Linked DNA regions of Coturnix japonica. The protein of the gene in region 1 interacts with the protein of each later gene in a pairwise test. Links are inferred from orthologs where the notes say so. Each region holds a gene or a part of one and is shown on either strand. Other genes may lie near its edges.

The links. The genes of interacting proteins can lie anywhere in the genome.
Region 2: the proteins of AAMP (region 1) and BHLHE40 interact in a two-hybrid assay, tested with the Homo sapiens proteins (2 studies listed by BioGRID and IntAct). The link is inferred for Coturnix japonica from reciprocal best matches to the Homo sapiens genes AAMP and BHLHE40.
Region 3: the proteins of AAMP (region 1) and AEN interact in binary tests that used the Homo sapiens proteins (3 or more experiments, as listed by UniProt). The link is inferred for Coturnix japonica from reciprocal best matches to the Homo sapiens genes AAMP and AEN.

The regions. Positions count from the first base shown.
Region 1 is NC_029522.1:24,182,363-24,186,483, reverse strand, and holds the start of AAMP (angio-associated migratory cell protein), read left to right. Parts: upstream 1-1,321; 5' UTR 1,322-1,385; coding exon 1,386-1,473; intron 1,474-1,638; coding exon 1,639-1,791; intron 1,792-1,933; coding exon 1,934-2,053; intron 2,054-2,238; coding exon 2,239-2,378; intron 2,379-2,501; coding exon 2,502-2,646; intron 2,647-2,719; coding exon 2,720-2,803; intron 2,804-3,073; coding exon 3,074-3,189; intron 3,190-3,382; coding exon 3,383-3,486; intron 3,487-3,649; coding exon 3,650-3,740; intron 3,741-4,018; coding exon 4,019-4,121. Other genes in the region: probable hydrolase PNKD, read right to left, coding at 392-500, 605-779, 1,104-1,185. UniProt on the Homo sapiens protein: Plays a role in angiogenesis and cell migration. In smooth muscle cell migration, may act through the RhoA pathway.
Region 2 is NC_029527.1:15,937,538-15,941,732, reverse strand, and holds the start of BHLHE40 (class E basic helix-loop-helix protein 40), read right to left. Parts: upstream 2,801-4,195; 5' UTR 2,540-2,800; coding exon 2,460-2,539; intron 2,364-2,459; coding exon 2,294-2,363; intron 1,955-2,293; coding exon 1,847-1,954; intron 1,507-1,846; coding exon 1,383-1,506; intron 599-1,382; coding exon 1-598. UniProt on the Homo sapiens protein: Transcriptional repressor involved in the regulation of the circadian rhythm by negatively regulating the activity of the clock genes and clock-controlled genes.
Region 3 is NC_029525.1:11,789,218-11,793,460, forward strand, and holds AEN (apoptosis-enhancing nuclease), read right to left. Parts: upstream 2,801-4,243; 5' UTR 2,676-2,800; intron 2,368-2,675; 5' UTR 2,366-2,367; coding exon 1,760-2,365; intron 1,370-1,759; coding exon 1,169-1,369; intron 832-1,168; coding exon 631-831; 3' UTR 168-630; downstream 1-167. UniProt on the Homo sapiens protein: Exonuclease with activity against single- and double-stranded DNA and RNA. Mediates p53-induced apoptosis.

The sequences.
Region 1 (4,121 bases):
CGCTTCAGCACCCTGAGTTTGTGGCCTGCTAGAAGGGAAGGGTTCCCTGTGTCCCACACTTGGGCCCTGGGGCTCTCTGGTCCATGGGGATGGAACAGTGCTGGGCTGTGCCTGGGGGCCTGGGCTCCATTCAGTGCCTTAAACACAGCCTCGGCCGTGAGCACAGCCCTGGTAGGCGCCAGGCCTTACTGGTTCCGCTGCAGGCCTGGCCTCTCTCAATTGTTACACATACTCAATAAAACACTTTAATTTTCCAGCTGGCCCCGGTGTGAATCGGGCAGGGCCCTGGGCTGGGAGTGCGGGGAGGGAGGTGTCCCCATGTCAGTCCTTGTGTTGCTGTGGTTCCTGTCTATGTGTCCCGGCGGTAGCGCTCCGTCTCGTAGTCCCCCACGTTGGCTCCCAGCATCTTGCGGCGGATGTGGAGCTGCTCCAGGCGGTTCTTGTCCACCTCTCTCTTCACCAGCAGGAAGAGGATGATGCCGCACGGCAGCCCGATGGCCCTGGGGACACGGGGAGGGGACACAGGGAGGGACACAGGGAGGGGACGTGACACCGTGTCTCCTAGTGCCGAGCCTCCCCCCCAAGCTTGTGCCTCCCCACTCACCAGGCCACCCCCACCGGCTTCATGGGGTTCTTGCCTTTCTTCCTCGTGGGGATGTACTCCACCCCCTCGGGGAGCCGCCCCGTTGGCTCTGCTGGCTTGGGCGGCACGGGCGGCCCTGCGGGACGGTGGCAGCTCAGTCGGCCCTCAGCCCCCCGCCTGGATATTGCCAGGAGCCCTGGGTGGAGACAGGGCTCGTGTAGGAGACATGGGGGGACACGGGGGGTCCTGCTGCCCCCACCCTGCTACAGCACGGGGGGCGTGGCCAACCAGGAGGGGGCGTGGCTTAATCAAGACGGGGGCGTGGTCAACAAAAGGCGTGGCTTAACCAAATGGGGCATGGCCTATCCAAGATGGCGGCGTGTCTTATGGTGCCACTCACGCACCGGGTGTAGCTGTGTGTCTCTGTGTGTGTGTGTGTGTGTGTGTGTGTGTGTGTCCGCGTATTGTCTCGCTGTGACACACAGCCATCCCTCTGCCCGCCCCCCCCACCTGCCTTTACCTCGCAGTCCGCCGCCAGCCGCCGCCATGTTGGGCCGTGCCGCCATGTTGGGCCGTGCCGCGCTCCCTCGGCCCCGCTGCATGCCGGGAGCTGCAGTCCGCCGCGCTGGGATAGAAAGGGATATGAAGGGAGAGAAAACTGCATTTCCCACAGTGCACTGCGCGGAGAGCGGAAGTCCCTTGTGGCGCTGGAGGAAGAGGCGGGGCGGAGGTGAAAAATCGGGCTGTGATTGGCTGTAAGGGGAAGGCGGAAGTGGTGTTGGTGGCGGCGGGGCAGGCCGGCATGGAGCCCGCGGCGGGGCCCGGCGCGTTGGACTTCCATGGCGACGAGGAGATCATCGAGGTGGTGGAGCTGGGCCCAACAGGGCCGGGTGAGACGGGAGCCCCGCCTCCTCACGGGGCACCGGGCCGCCTCGACACGGGGCTCGGCCTCGCGGTGTATCCCCACCACGGGGCCTTCAGCCCTGCTCCGCCTGCGGGGCCGGGGATGCCCGTTGGGGTGGAGGTGGGCGGGGGGTGACGGTCGGTCCCCGCAGATGAGCTGGCTGCGGAGATGGAGGACGTGGAGTTCGGCGATGAAGGAGAGGAGGAGCCCGACGGGGAAGGATGGGAGACAGAGGACGATGAGGGGCTGGAGGATGGTATGGAGGTGCAGGATGACAGCGAGGTCACGTTCTCATTGCATTCAGGTGAGCCATGGGGGTTCCCTGGGTTGGGAAGCTGCACTGTGTCCCTCTCCTGGCTCTATCAAGGGGATTTGAGGGCTCTCTAGTAGCTGTTGTGCCGTCGGGGGGTTTGACTCTGTGGTGTTTGCATGTCCCCGCTCTGCAGCCTCAGTGTTCTGCGTCAGCCTCGACCCAAAGACCAACACGCTGGCGGTGACGGGTGGGGAAGATGATAAAGCCTTCGTGTGGCGCCTGAGCGATGGAGAGCTGCTGTTCGAGTGCTCAGGTGAGGGGCTGGGGCCAGGCGCCCCTGCTCAAATGGGTCCCATAGTAGGGGACCCATAGTAGGAAGTCTGGGTCTTGGTAGCACTTGCTCTTCCCCAGCTGATGTTCCTCTGGAGCTGGGCTCCTGATTGTTTTCCATATCTGGTGTTTGTTAACAGAATGGTCTGTACTCTTTGCCATCTCTAGGACACAAGGACTCTGTCACCTGTGCCGGTTTCAGTCATGACTCTGTGTTTGTGGCCACGGGTGACATGTCTGGTCTGGTCAAAGTGTGGCGGGTGGACACCAAGGAAGAAGTGTGGTCCTTTGAGGTGGGGGACCTGGAGGTGAGTGGCTGAAGCTCTGCTCCTGATGGAAACGTGGGGGCCAACAGTGGGACCCAGCTCTGGTTCTCCTCCCTTCTGTGAGGACACAACCCTGTGACGCTGCCTGTCCCCTTCTCTGAACAGTGGATGGAGTGGCACCCTCAGGCCCACGTCCTTCTAGCGGGCACGGCTGATGGCAATTCCTGGATGTGGAAGATCCCCAGTGGAGATTGCAAAACCTTCCAGGGCCCTGCATGCCCTGCCACGTGTGGCAAGATCCTGCCTGACGGTGAGGAACAGGGAGGTGGGAGACAAGGGCTGTGGGAAGCTCTGCCTCTATCTGCTCGTTCTGTTTTACCCAGGGAAACGAGCCGTGGTGGGATACGAGGATGGGACCATGCGCATCTGGGATCTGAAACAGGGAACCTCACTGCATGTTCTGAAAGGTGGGAAAGGGATTTTTCACCTGGGGTGCATCCCCCATGCAACAAACTCTGAGCTCTGCCTTGGTGAAGAGGCAGCATGTACAGAGGTTAGAGGCTGCCAGGAGTCTGGTGCTGGGTGCAGTGTCCTCGTGGCAGCCGTCCCTTGCCCTGGGGATGCCACCATGGGGTGGGTGCAGTGCAGATACTGCAGGGTGAGGTGTGCTGGGCTTCGAGGTGCGTGGAGTTTAAGTAGGAATGGGCGTAACTTATTCCTCGTGTTAATCTCCACAGGCCAGGACGGCCACCAGGACCCCTTGACATGTGTGGCCACCAACCAGGATGGCAGTTTGATCCTGACAGGCTCAGTGGACTGTCATGCCAAGCTGGTCAACTCTGCCACGGGCAAGGTGAGTCCGTGCCCACCTGTGGGGCTCAGTAGTGGATATGGATGACCTGTCCAGATCGGGATGGCGCTGGACTTTGCCAGCCAAATGCGATGGCCATCTGGGGCCAGCAGGAGGCGTGCTTGGCCACCACTACCGCCATTTCTCTGCTGCTGGGAGGGTTGGGGCGTGAGGACTCACGTTGTTCCTCCCCCAGGTGGTGTGCGTGTTCAAGATGGAGAGTGCGGCTCCCAAGGCCCCTGTGAGTGAGGGCGAGGAGGCAGAGTCCAATTCAGTGGAGTCGTTGGGCTTCTGTAACGTGTGAGTGGGGCACTGATGATTTTCCTTATGGGATGTTTTGTGGTTCCAGCTCTGATCATTGGGTTGTCCCTCTTCATTTCAGTGCTCCTTCAACCCCGATCCTTCACACGCTTAATTCCCTGCTTACTCCAGGTCCTCATAAAACTCATTCTCCTCTCTGCAGGATGCCACTGGCCGCTGTTGGCTACTTGGATGGTACACTGGCTATCTACGATCTCTCCACACAGACCTTGAGGCACAAATGCCAACATGAGGTACTACCCTGTACCTCATTATCTCTGGGCCCAGCTGCCACCTCTGGTAGCCCAGCGCTGCCTCTTTTAGAGCCTGGGGGGGCTTTCCTGGGGTTGGTTCCCAATTCGTGCTTCTCTTTGCTCGTGGGCTTCCCCTGAGGTAGCTGTGGTCCCACACAGAGGATGTGTCGCATCTTGGTCACGAGGGCTGACCCCTTGCTATGGGGAGGGATGGAGTGGAGTCTGATGGTGTGCTGGGACTGTTACTGAGTGTTATTCCTCCTCGTGCTCATTCCCAGTCAGGAATTGTGCAGTTGCTGTGGGAGGAGAACTCCGCTGTGGTGTATACCTGCAGCCTGGATGGGGCTGTGCGGCTCTGGGATGCCCGCTCAGGGAAGATGA
Region 2 (4,195 bases), on another chromosome or scaffold:
ATGGGCAGGTAGGCAGTGGCGGATGGTGGGATCAGGTAGAAGGGCAGGCACAAGGGGGGCTGGTGGGCGTGGGGGGGCAGGAAGCCGCCCGCAGTGCCCATCACCTCGTTGCCAAAGGGGCTGTCGTCATCAGGCACCTCCAGCCTGCTCCTCTTGGCCGGAGGGTCCTCGCTCTCTTGCTTGATGGAGCTGATCCTCTCCTGGACGGCGTATTTCAGTTCGGTATCCTTTGGGAAATAGGGCTGCTCCGGTTTGGAGTCGTTTTTCTCCAGCTCCCCCCCATAGCCGCTGTCCGTGTCTGTGTCGCTGCCGCTCTGCTCCCCGCTGGAGGCAGCGAATGTCCTTTGGATGACGGGCACACAGTTCTGCCCGCGCCCCTCGCCCGCTTTGCCCCCCGGCACCGTCTTCTCCTTCAGGTCCTTGGGGCTGCCCGGCAGCAGCTCGGCCGCCACGCGGTGCAGGTGCCCCACCAGCTGCGCTGCCTTCAGCTCCTTGTTGTCGTGCTTGGCCACGTACTGCAGCAGCTCCTTGGCGCACAGCTGGAAGCCAGAGCGGAACATCTCCTGGCTGGAGTCGAGGTTCCTCGCGGACAGGTCACCTGAGGAAACATTAACAGGGAGAAATTAAAAATTAACAGCACGCCAAATACTTCCATCACCACCTCCAGGCTGACAGCACGCGTCCGGTACAACACAGCCAGCACAGCAAACTCAGTGGCCAACCTGAGTTCCCACAACTTATGCGCCAGAATCCAACCTGCTACTTTCACATCCCTCCATTCACTTCTACCCGTGCCCTTCATCTTTCAATTCTGCATTTGGCACTTCCACTGGGGAACAAGCAGACAGTGCATCCCACACCCAGCAGGACCCCTCAATGCCACGCTGTGCCCCCACTGCCAATGGGTCTCCCCTGGTGCTGTCCCTGCAGGGCAGTGGCACCTCGTTGGCCAAGCTCAGTTTGACTTTATCAGAGCCATGTGAATGCCACGTGTGCAAGCAGCAGGAGGAAGCAGAGGGAGCGAGCAGCCACTGTGCTGAGCCCCGTCCACCTGCAGAATGAGGGAACACAGATCTGCACACGGACAGCGGGTGTTTGTGTGCTCTGGGGGAAAAGGAAAGCGCAGAACCAGGATCCAAAGCTCATGAATGGAGAGAGCTGAACGACTTTGGAGAGGGCATCACAGCAAAGCTGCGCTTTAAATAAAACTACTTCAAATCCACTTTAAAATGAAAGCGACCGCACAGCACGCCTGGCTCCGACCCCATGGAGAGCTGCACTTGCTCTGCACAAGCAAAGCGAGAGAAACTGATGGCAATCAAAGGGCAGAGGCTCAGGCATCCCTTCCCCGCGCAGTGTCCCCGCACGCTGCACTCACGCACCTGCCTGCAGCCCGCTCTGCAGCGCCAGGATCTTCTGCTGCTGCTGCTCCGTCAGCGCCGTCAGCGCCTTCAGGTGCTTCAGGGTCAGCTCCAGCACCACCGCCTTCTCCAGGTGACCGAGGGTCTGCGGGCAGAGCACACAACGCGTTGGACGCTGCGGGGGTGGGGGTGGAAATAGGCGCTGGGAGACATTCCCACGGCAAAGGTGGGGGCGATTTGGGGCAGGGACTCGGGGGCAGCGCTGCTAATTGGGGAAGGCACAAGTCGTGCTTCCTGTGAACAGAAATATCCGGAATTTGGACGGAACACACAGAGAGCAGCCGCGGGGCAGCCCCCGGCCCCACATCCCGGGGGTATTTGGGGACGCCCAACCCCGAGCACAGCTCCGTGCCTCGGCGCTGCTGCCCCCGCCGGCATCGCGCGCTCAACGCAGGGCCGGGCCCGGAGCCCCGTTGTGCCCGTACCGTCAGCTTGAGGTGCTCGGGCAGCAGGTCCTTGAGCTGGGCGATGCACTCGTTGATCCTGTCGCGGCGCTTCTTCTCTATCAGCCTGTGGGGCAGCTTGTAGGTATCCTGTAAGGAGCGGCGGGTCAGCGCTCCGCACCCACCCTCCGTCTTTTTGCCTTCTTTCCTTTTTTTCCCCCTTCCCAAATAATCGCTAAACCCACCACGCATTCCACCCTCTGTTCTTTTTTCCTTTTCCTTTTGCTTTCCCCCCCCCTCCCCACCCAAATACTCACGCACCCCCTCCGCCCCCCACCCCGCAGCATTTCTTTTTTATTTCCCCCAGAATTACCCAGTGGAGGCCCCTTCCCCCCTTCCCGCATCACCCCACAGAAGCTCAGCTCTCTTTCTCACTCCCCCCCATCCCAACGATCGCTGACCCCCGCCCCGCACCGCCCACCCCGTTACCTTGCTGTCCTCGCTCCTCTTTAACCCCCTCCTGGGCTTGTACACTTGGTACATGTGCGCGAAGTCCAGCCTGCACGGGCGAAACGAAAGCAGCGAGGTTACCCCTGTCCCCGGGGCCGCGGCGGGGGGACGCTCTCGTGTCGTCCTGTCCCCCCCGCAGCCTTACCCCGGCACATCGGCGCTCTCCAGGGCGGGCAGTTTGCCCAGGCACACGGGCGGGGGCTGCGCGCTGGGGATGCGCTCCATGGGGGCGCGGAGCGGAGCGGTGCCGCGGGAGCCGGGAGGAGCGGAGCGGTGCGGTGCGGTGCGGAGCTCAGCGCGGGCAGCTCATGCCGCGTCCCCGCCTCGCCGGCTGAGGAGCGGAGGGAGGCGGAGGGCCGGGTTAAATGCGGCCGAGTGGGTGGACGGCGGCGACGTGCGTTACCCTGTGACTCCCGGCACGTCTGGCCGGGCTCCCCCCCCCGCTCCCTCCCTCCCTCCATCGCCGTCACATGAGGCTCACGTGTCGGCGAGCGGCGGCCTTCCTCCCCCCGCCCGCTCCGCCGTGCAACGTGCCGGGGGGGGGTGGAGGCGGGGCGGCCGGTCCGTGGCCCCGGGTGGCCCCGACCCCGGTTGCTTCCCGGCCGCCCCTCGGGCTCTGCCCCGCCGTCCCGCAGCGGAGCGGGGCAGGAGCTCGGCACCCGACTCCCGTTCTTCAACACTCCCGCGGCGCGTCGGTAATCCCCGCTGCCGGAGCCCTTTGGCTGCTCCCTTCTCTCCGAGCCGTCCCGAGGCTCGGGGTTTACTCATGACCTTAAGGGATGTTGCCAAGGATTTTGGAGTCCCCCTAAAAAGAGGATCCGAGTGGAGCGATGGCATTCCTGGGCGGCAAGTGGGATGGCGGAGAGTTGGGTTACATTGTCCTCCCTATGATCAGCTTTCATAAGCTGGGGCTGATGCAATCAGCAATTTGTCTCCGAGATTTTGTTTGCTGAATTATTTCTGCGCAGAAATGCATACATACAGGGCGTACAGAATGCAGCAAAGAGGCCAAATTTCCTGCAGTCACGGGTCTGAGGTGCTGTCCCAGGAGAGGAGCAGACAGTGCCCAGCAGTGATCTGCACTTATCTACAGACCCCCCAGAAGCCAAGGGCTCGCAGTTCGGGCTCAAGTTGTACTGAGGGCTCGGAGATGGTGATTTGGGGCAAAACACTGTGAAATCCCAACAGCAGCATCGGATAGAGCCCGTGTGGGCAGCTCGGAGTTAGCAGCTGGGCTGCGGCTTCAGCCTCACGATAAGGTTACTGCGGGTGGTTTTGTTTTAAAATGTCCCTTACTTAATATATCCACGAAGGCCAGGCATGTGCCTGTGGCCTGGAATCAGATAGCTGACTCCTCTGCTCTCTCATTTCCAGCAATCTCGTTTTGGGTTACCAGCACCGGAGGTTAAAGGACGGCCGCAGGCGAAGGTTATGCAGGGCAGCAGCGCTTCGGCTCGGCACCCAGCGGGCACCCGATGGGCATCCCCAGAGCCCTCCTACTGAACACACCCCCACCCTCCCAGCAGCCTGCAGGTGGTGACCAAAGCTCGGACTGAGCCTTGAAAACACACTGCCCAGAGCTGTGGTGCCCCATCCCTGGAGGTGCCCAAGACCATGGGTGGGCCCTGGGCAGCTTGAGCTGGGGGGCAGCCAGCCTGTGGCAGGGGTGGGGGCTGGGTGACCTGTATGGTTCCATCCAACCCAACCATTGCATTAATCTGTGATGGTGTCGGGGTACCCATTGGGAAAAGCAGTGAGAGCCAATGGCACTGAGGGTCTGCTATGAGCAGGGTGCTGGCACTGCATGGTGAGAGCCTGCAGCCCATCAGCCATGAGCTCTCTTCTGACCGAGCATGGGGATGTTTGCCAGCACCCAGCACA
Region 3 (4,243 bases), on another chromosome or scaffold:
TGATCCCATTGCAATGTCCTTGTGATGTATTGGAGCAGAGGGGAACCATCCCCATGGAACCAAGCACCAGGACTTGTCTATCCCAGCCACCATCAGGCCCCCAAAGAGCCAGTCAGGTGAGCTTGAAGTGCTGGAACACAGCACTCGATCACACCAACACACATGGAAAGCTTTTGCAATAATCATTTTTAATCCAGAATTGGACCAATATGACAAAGTGCATTCTAAGCCGTTTGTCCACAGGATATAGAAACTGATTATAGACCTGGATTTCCTTTACAGGCTTCACTGTGCAAAGAATCCAGGGAGGAAAATGGTGGTGTAACATCAGCCCCAGATGCTCTGCAGCAATCAGGCAGCAGCACAACAGGTCTGAACTGCTGTCACAGGGCCACAATGTGCAGCATGGACCACAGACCCTTCAGATAAACCACTCGCCTCAGCCCTCCCACTATTAGCAGCAAGATGATACCAGGGAGGGCAAACCTTGGAGGGCATCAGGTGCCCTAAGAGCCCCATTCCACCTCTGTGCTCCTCCAGGGTGGCACCAGGACCCCACGTGTCCCTCCACACCTCAGAGGTGAAGGCACAGGGATGTCCCCAACACTATGGACAGAGCGCAGTCCCTGGTCACGGGGTGCCCACCATCAGGTCCTGGGGCCAGTACTGGTCATCCATGTACTGGTGGCTGTCGGTGACGGGGTCTGTGGGGCTGGGGGGTCGGGGGGGTTGGCTGAGAGCCAGTTCTGCCTCCCATGGCACCTCCACCAGTCTGTACAGCTCCATGGCCGTCTGCGCATCCTCCACTGATGAATGCCCTGTGCAGCCCACCTGAATGAAGGGGAGAAGCACCGTTAGGGAAAGCGGCTGTCAAAAATAACCCACAGCACTTAGAATCATAGAACAAAACATCATCACAGAATATCCCATGTTGGAAGGGATCATAAAGACCATCGAGTCTAACTCTTGGCTTGTCTTAAGAACAAGAATTGAGGGTTTGGATGCAACACTGGACAGATCTAGCAGGTGAGTGTATCTCTTCATATCTCTTCACCAAGGGATGTATGCAACTGTCTCTGCCTCCCCACACCAACACAGGGCCAGGCTGGCCATATAAACTTGTACAAACTGGGACTCTCCACCTCCCCGCAAGGTCTGTGGGACTCACCTGGATCTTCTTCTGCAGCAGGTGTCTGGCCAGGCTCTTAAGAGAAGCATTGGCCCCAGGGGGCAGCCCGGCCCTCTGGTTGAGCAGTGGGATACGACTGGTGTCCCGTGTCCTCTCCTTTGGGTGGAAGTACTTCAGGGCCTGGAAGTCATTGTGGATGGCGTGCCCAACCACAATCTTGTCCTTCAGGATCTTCAAGATCTGGAAGCATCAGACGGGTTAGATGAAGCACTTTATAGAATAAACCACTTTGCACCCAGGTTTACTTTTTCAGTTTCCAAGGAATGAGAAGCAACAAGTGAGCCCCATTACTGAGCTCATGTTCTTCTCAGAAAGAGCAGTGATACATTGGCACAGCTGCCCAGGGAGGTGGTGGAGTCACCAGCCCTGGAGGTGTTACAGGACAGTGGAGATGGGACACTGAGGGATGTGGTTAGTGGGCATAGGGGGGAGTGGTTTGGGGTGGACTGGATGATCTTAGTGAACGCTTCCAACCTTAATGACTCTATGAAATCACACAGCAGACTCACTGTGCAAGGCTGTCACAAACCCAACTGTCAGCCCTTAACTCTCGCAGTGCCAGGACCTCACCTCCTCCTGTGCAGCACGGAAGGGGATGGCGCTCTCCATGTGCCTCTTGGTGATGCCGCTCCAGCGGGTACGAAAGTCCACGATGGGCAGCAGGGGCAGGACGTATTTGTCATAGATGACATCACCATCATAGCTGACGATGGAGCAGCGTGCCAGCTCGCTCTGCCTGCCCCGGGGTCCTGTGCCCACCATCTCACAGTCCATAGCCACATACTTCTTGGAACGTGGGAGGCACGGCTGGATGGCTGTGATGCTGTTACCTGTGGACGTCCCAGAGCAGCGGCCCATAGTGCCATCTGGGGAGGCAGATGGTGACACAGAGAGCCCCGGCCTGGAGACCTTCGAGCCACGTGTTGTCACACTGCTGAGCCCACCCGGGGGTCCCTGCGTGCCCACCCGTCGGTGTGGTCTCAGCAGCCCCCTCCTCTCCAGCAGCGCCCTCCGCTCCATGAAGCGCTGGTGTTTCCGGCTCCTCTTCTTGCTGCCAGGACCCTGCGGTGTCATTTTGGGGCTGGGAGGTCCTGCAGGACCGTGGGTGCGCTTTGGGACGGGCACAGAAGCTTTGGGGGGCAGCAATACCGTCATCTGGCCTTTTCCTGGAGCCATATCTGCGGGCAGCACAGAGCAGTGAGTGCCCTGAACCCCCAGAATGGGCCTGCTCCCTGATTACACTAAGTCCCGTTTCCATACACACTGTCCCTCCCTGACCCAATGGGATCCTTGTTACAGCACAACCCCCAATGCCCTGTTTGCCTATTGCCAGGCCCTACCCTCCTCATTACCCAACCCCAAGCCCCTATCTGCCCCTTTAGCCAATCCCAGACCGTTGTCAGCCCCATTTCCCATACCCATACCCATACCCATACCCATACCCATACCCATATCCCCCCCTATTCCCGGCCTATATCCCCCTCACCCTCCGCAGCCCGGCACAGCTCCCACGTGTCCGTCCCGGAAGTAGCCGCTTTCACATGCCTGGACAAGTTCTGACGTGGCCACGCCCCCTCTTCTTTCCTATTGGTTGTGCATGAAGATTGATTCGTATAGGGGCGGTGTGATTGGTGCGTCACCGCGAAGGGGCGGGGCTAACACCTCCCGCTAATATGGCGGCGTGGCGTGAGTGTAATGCGGATGCTTTGCCTGTAGGGCGCCTATAGGGTCCTGCGGCTATAAAGTGCTTTGATGCCCCATTCTGGTGGTGCATCAGATGAGACCCTGGCATCTGGGTGCCATGCAATGCACAGCAGGGGATTGCAACTTGACTTTAGAGCCCCTTCTAACCCAACCCTGTGCTTCATTTTGGTTATAGGGTGCCCTATATGTACCCTGACCATAGGGCTGTAGTGCAGGGAGCTGCTGGTGGGGATGGTATCAGAGCTGTGATGTGGGACACACATCCTTGGGGTTTCCATTCACATTCCCAGTGTTGGGTGAATAGGGCAGCTCCATCTGCAGCCGCAGTGTTGTTTCAGACCGACCTCTCGTTGCTTTGCTCTGGGTTTGCATCAAAGCAACGTCCGAGGTGATCAGAAGTGGGAGATGGATCCAGGAGCAGCCCAACCACCGTCCTCATCCTCACCGTGGGGCTGGGGAGGCTCTTGAAGCGCCGCAGGGACCGTGCGCCCTAAGGCAGACTGTGACTTGTTGTGGTGGGATGAGCCATACAACAACAAAATCACTAGTCTTCCACAGGGCATCGCGGCCATCATCATCCCATCACCGCCATGCAGATGTCAGCCACCGTCGTGGGGATGCAGGGTGAGTGTCCTCACCCTCTGCACTGCCTTCTCTGATCTGCCTGGTTGGAAAGGTAAAATTGAAACCACCATTTAATTTTTCCTTGTGCATTCATGGCTTGGAGCTCCTGGGCTCTCTCAGCTCTGTGTTCACCCCATAGCACCATATGCTCTGCTGCTGGATCCCTTGTTGAGGCTGGAGCACTGGGATCCCTGTCAGTGGGGTGGCTGATGGGATATCACTGTTGTATACAGGGGCCACTCAGCCTTATTTTCCCCCAGTATCACCATCCATCTCTGCAGTCTATGCTCAGCCAGCCCCTTCCCAGGCTCTGTGCTTTGCAGGGTGTGTGTGCTTTGCCCTCTTTGCTCACACAGGAGCCTTGGTGATAGTACGAGGGGCATTTGGAGAGGAGAAGAAAAGCATTTCTCTTCTGGTTTTACAGGTCAGCAGGTGAACAGCAGCAACCTTTGTCTCCATCCAAGTCAGAATTGCTTTAAATTGGACCACGTGAGTGCCCCTCAATCCCACTGACCATGGCTTAGCAGAGGACTGCGCTCACCCCACAGTGCAGAGGGAGGAAGAGTTACAGAGGGACAAAAAGGACTGTCCGATGCAAGGGAGAATATGGGAAGCCAGGTGGGAAGGAGATGCCAAGGGGAGCTCCCTTGGAGAAGCGTGGTGTGGGGCACAGTGCTGGGTGTCGCAGTGCTGCGGTGTGTGCAGAGCATGCCGGAGCCCAGGGAC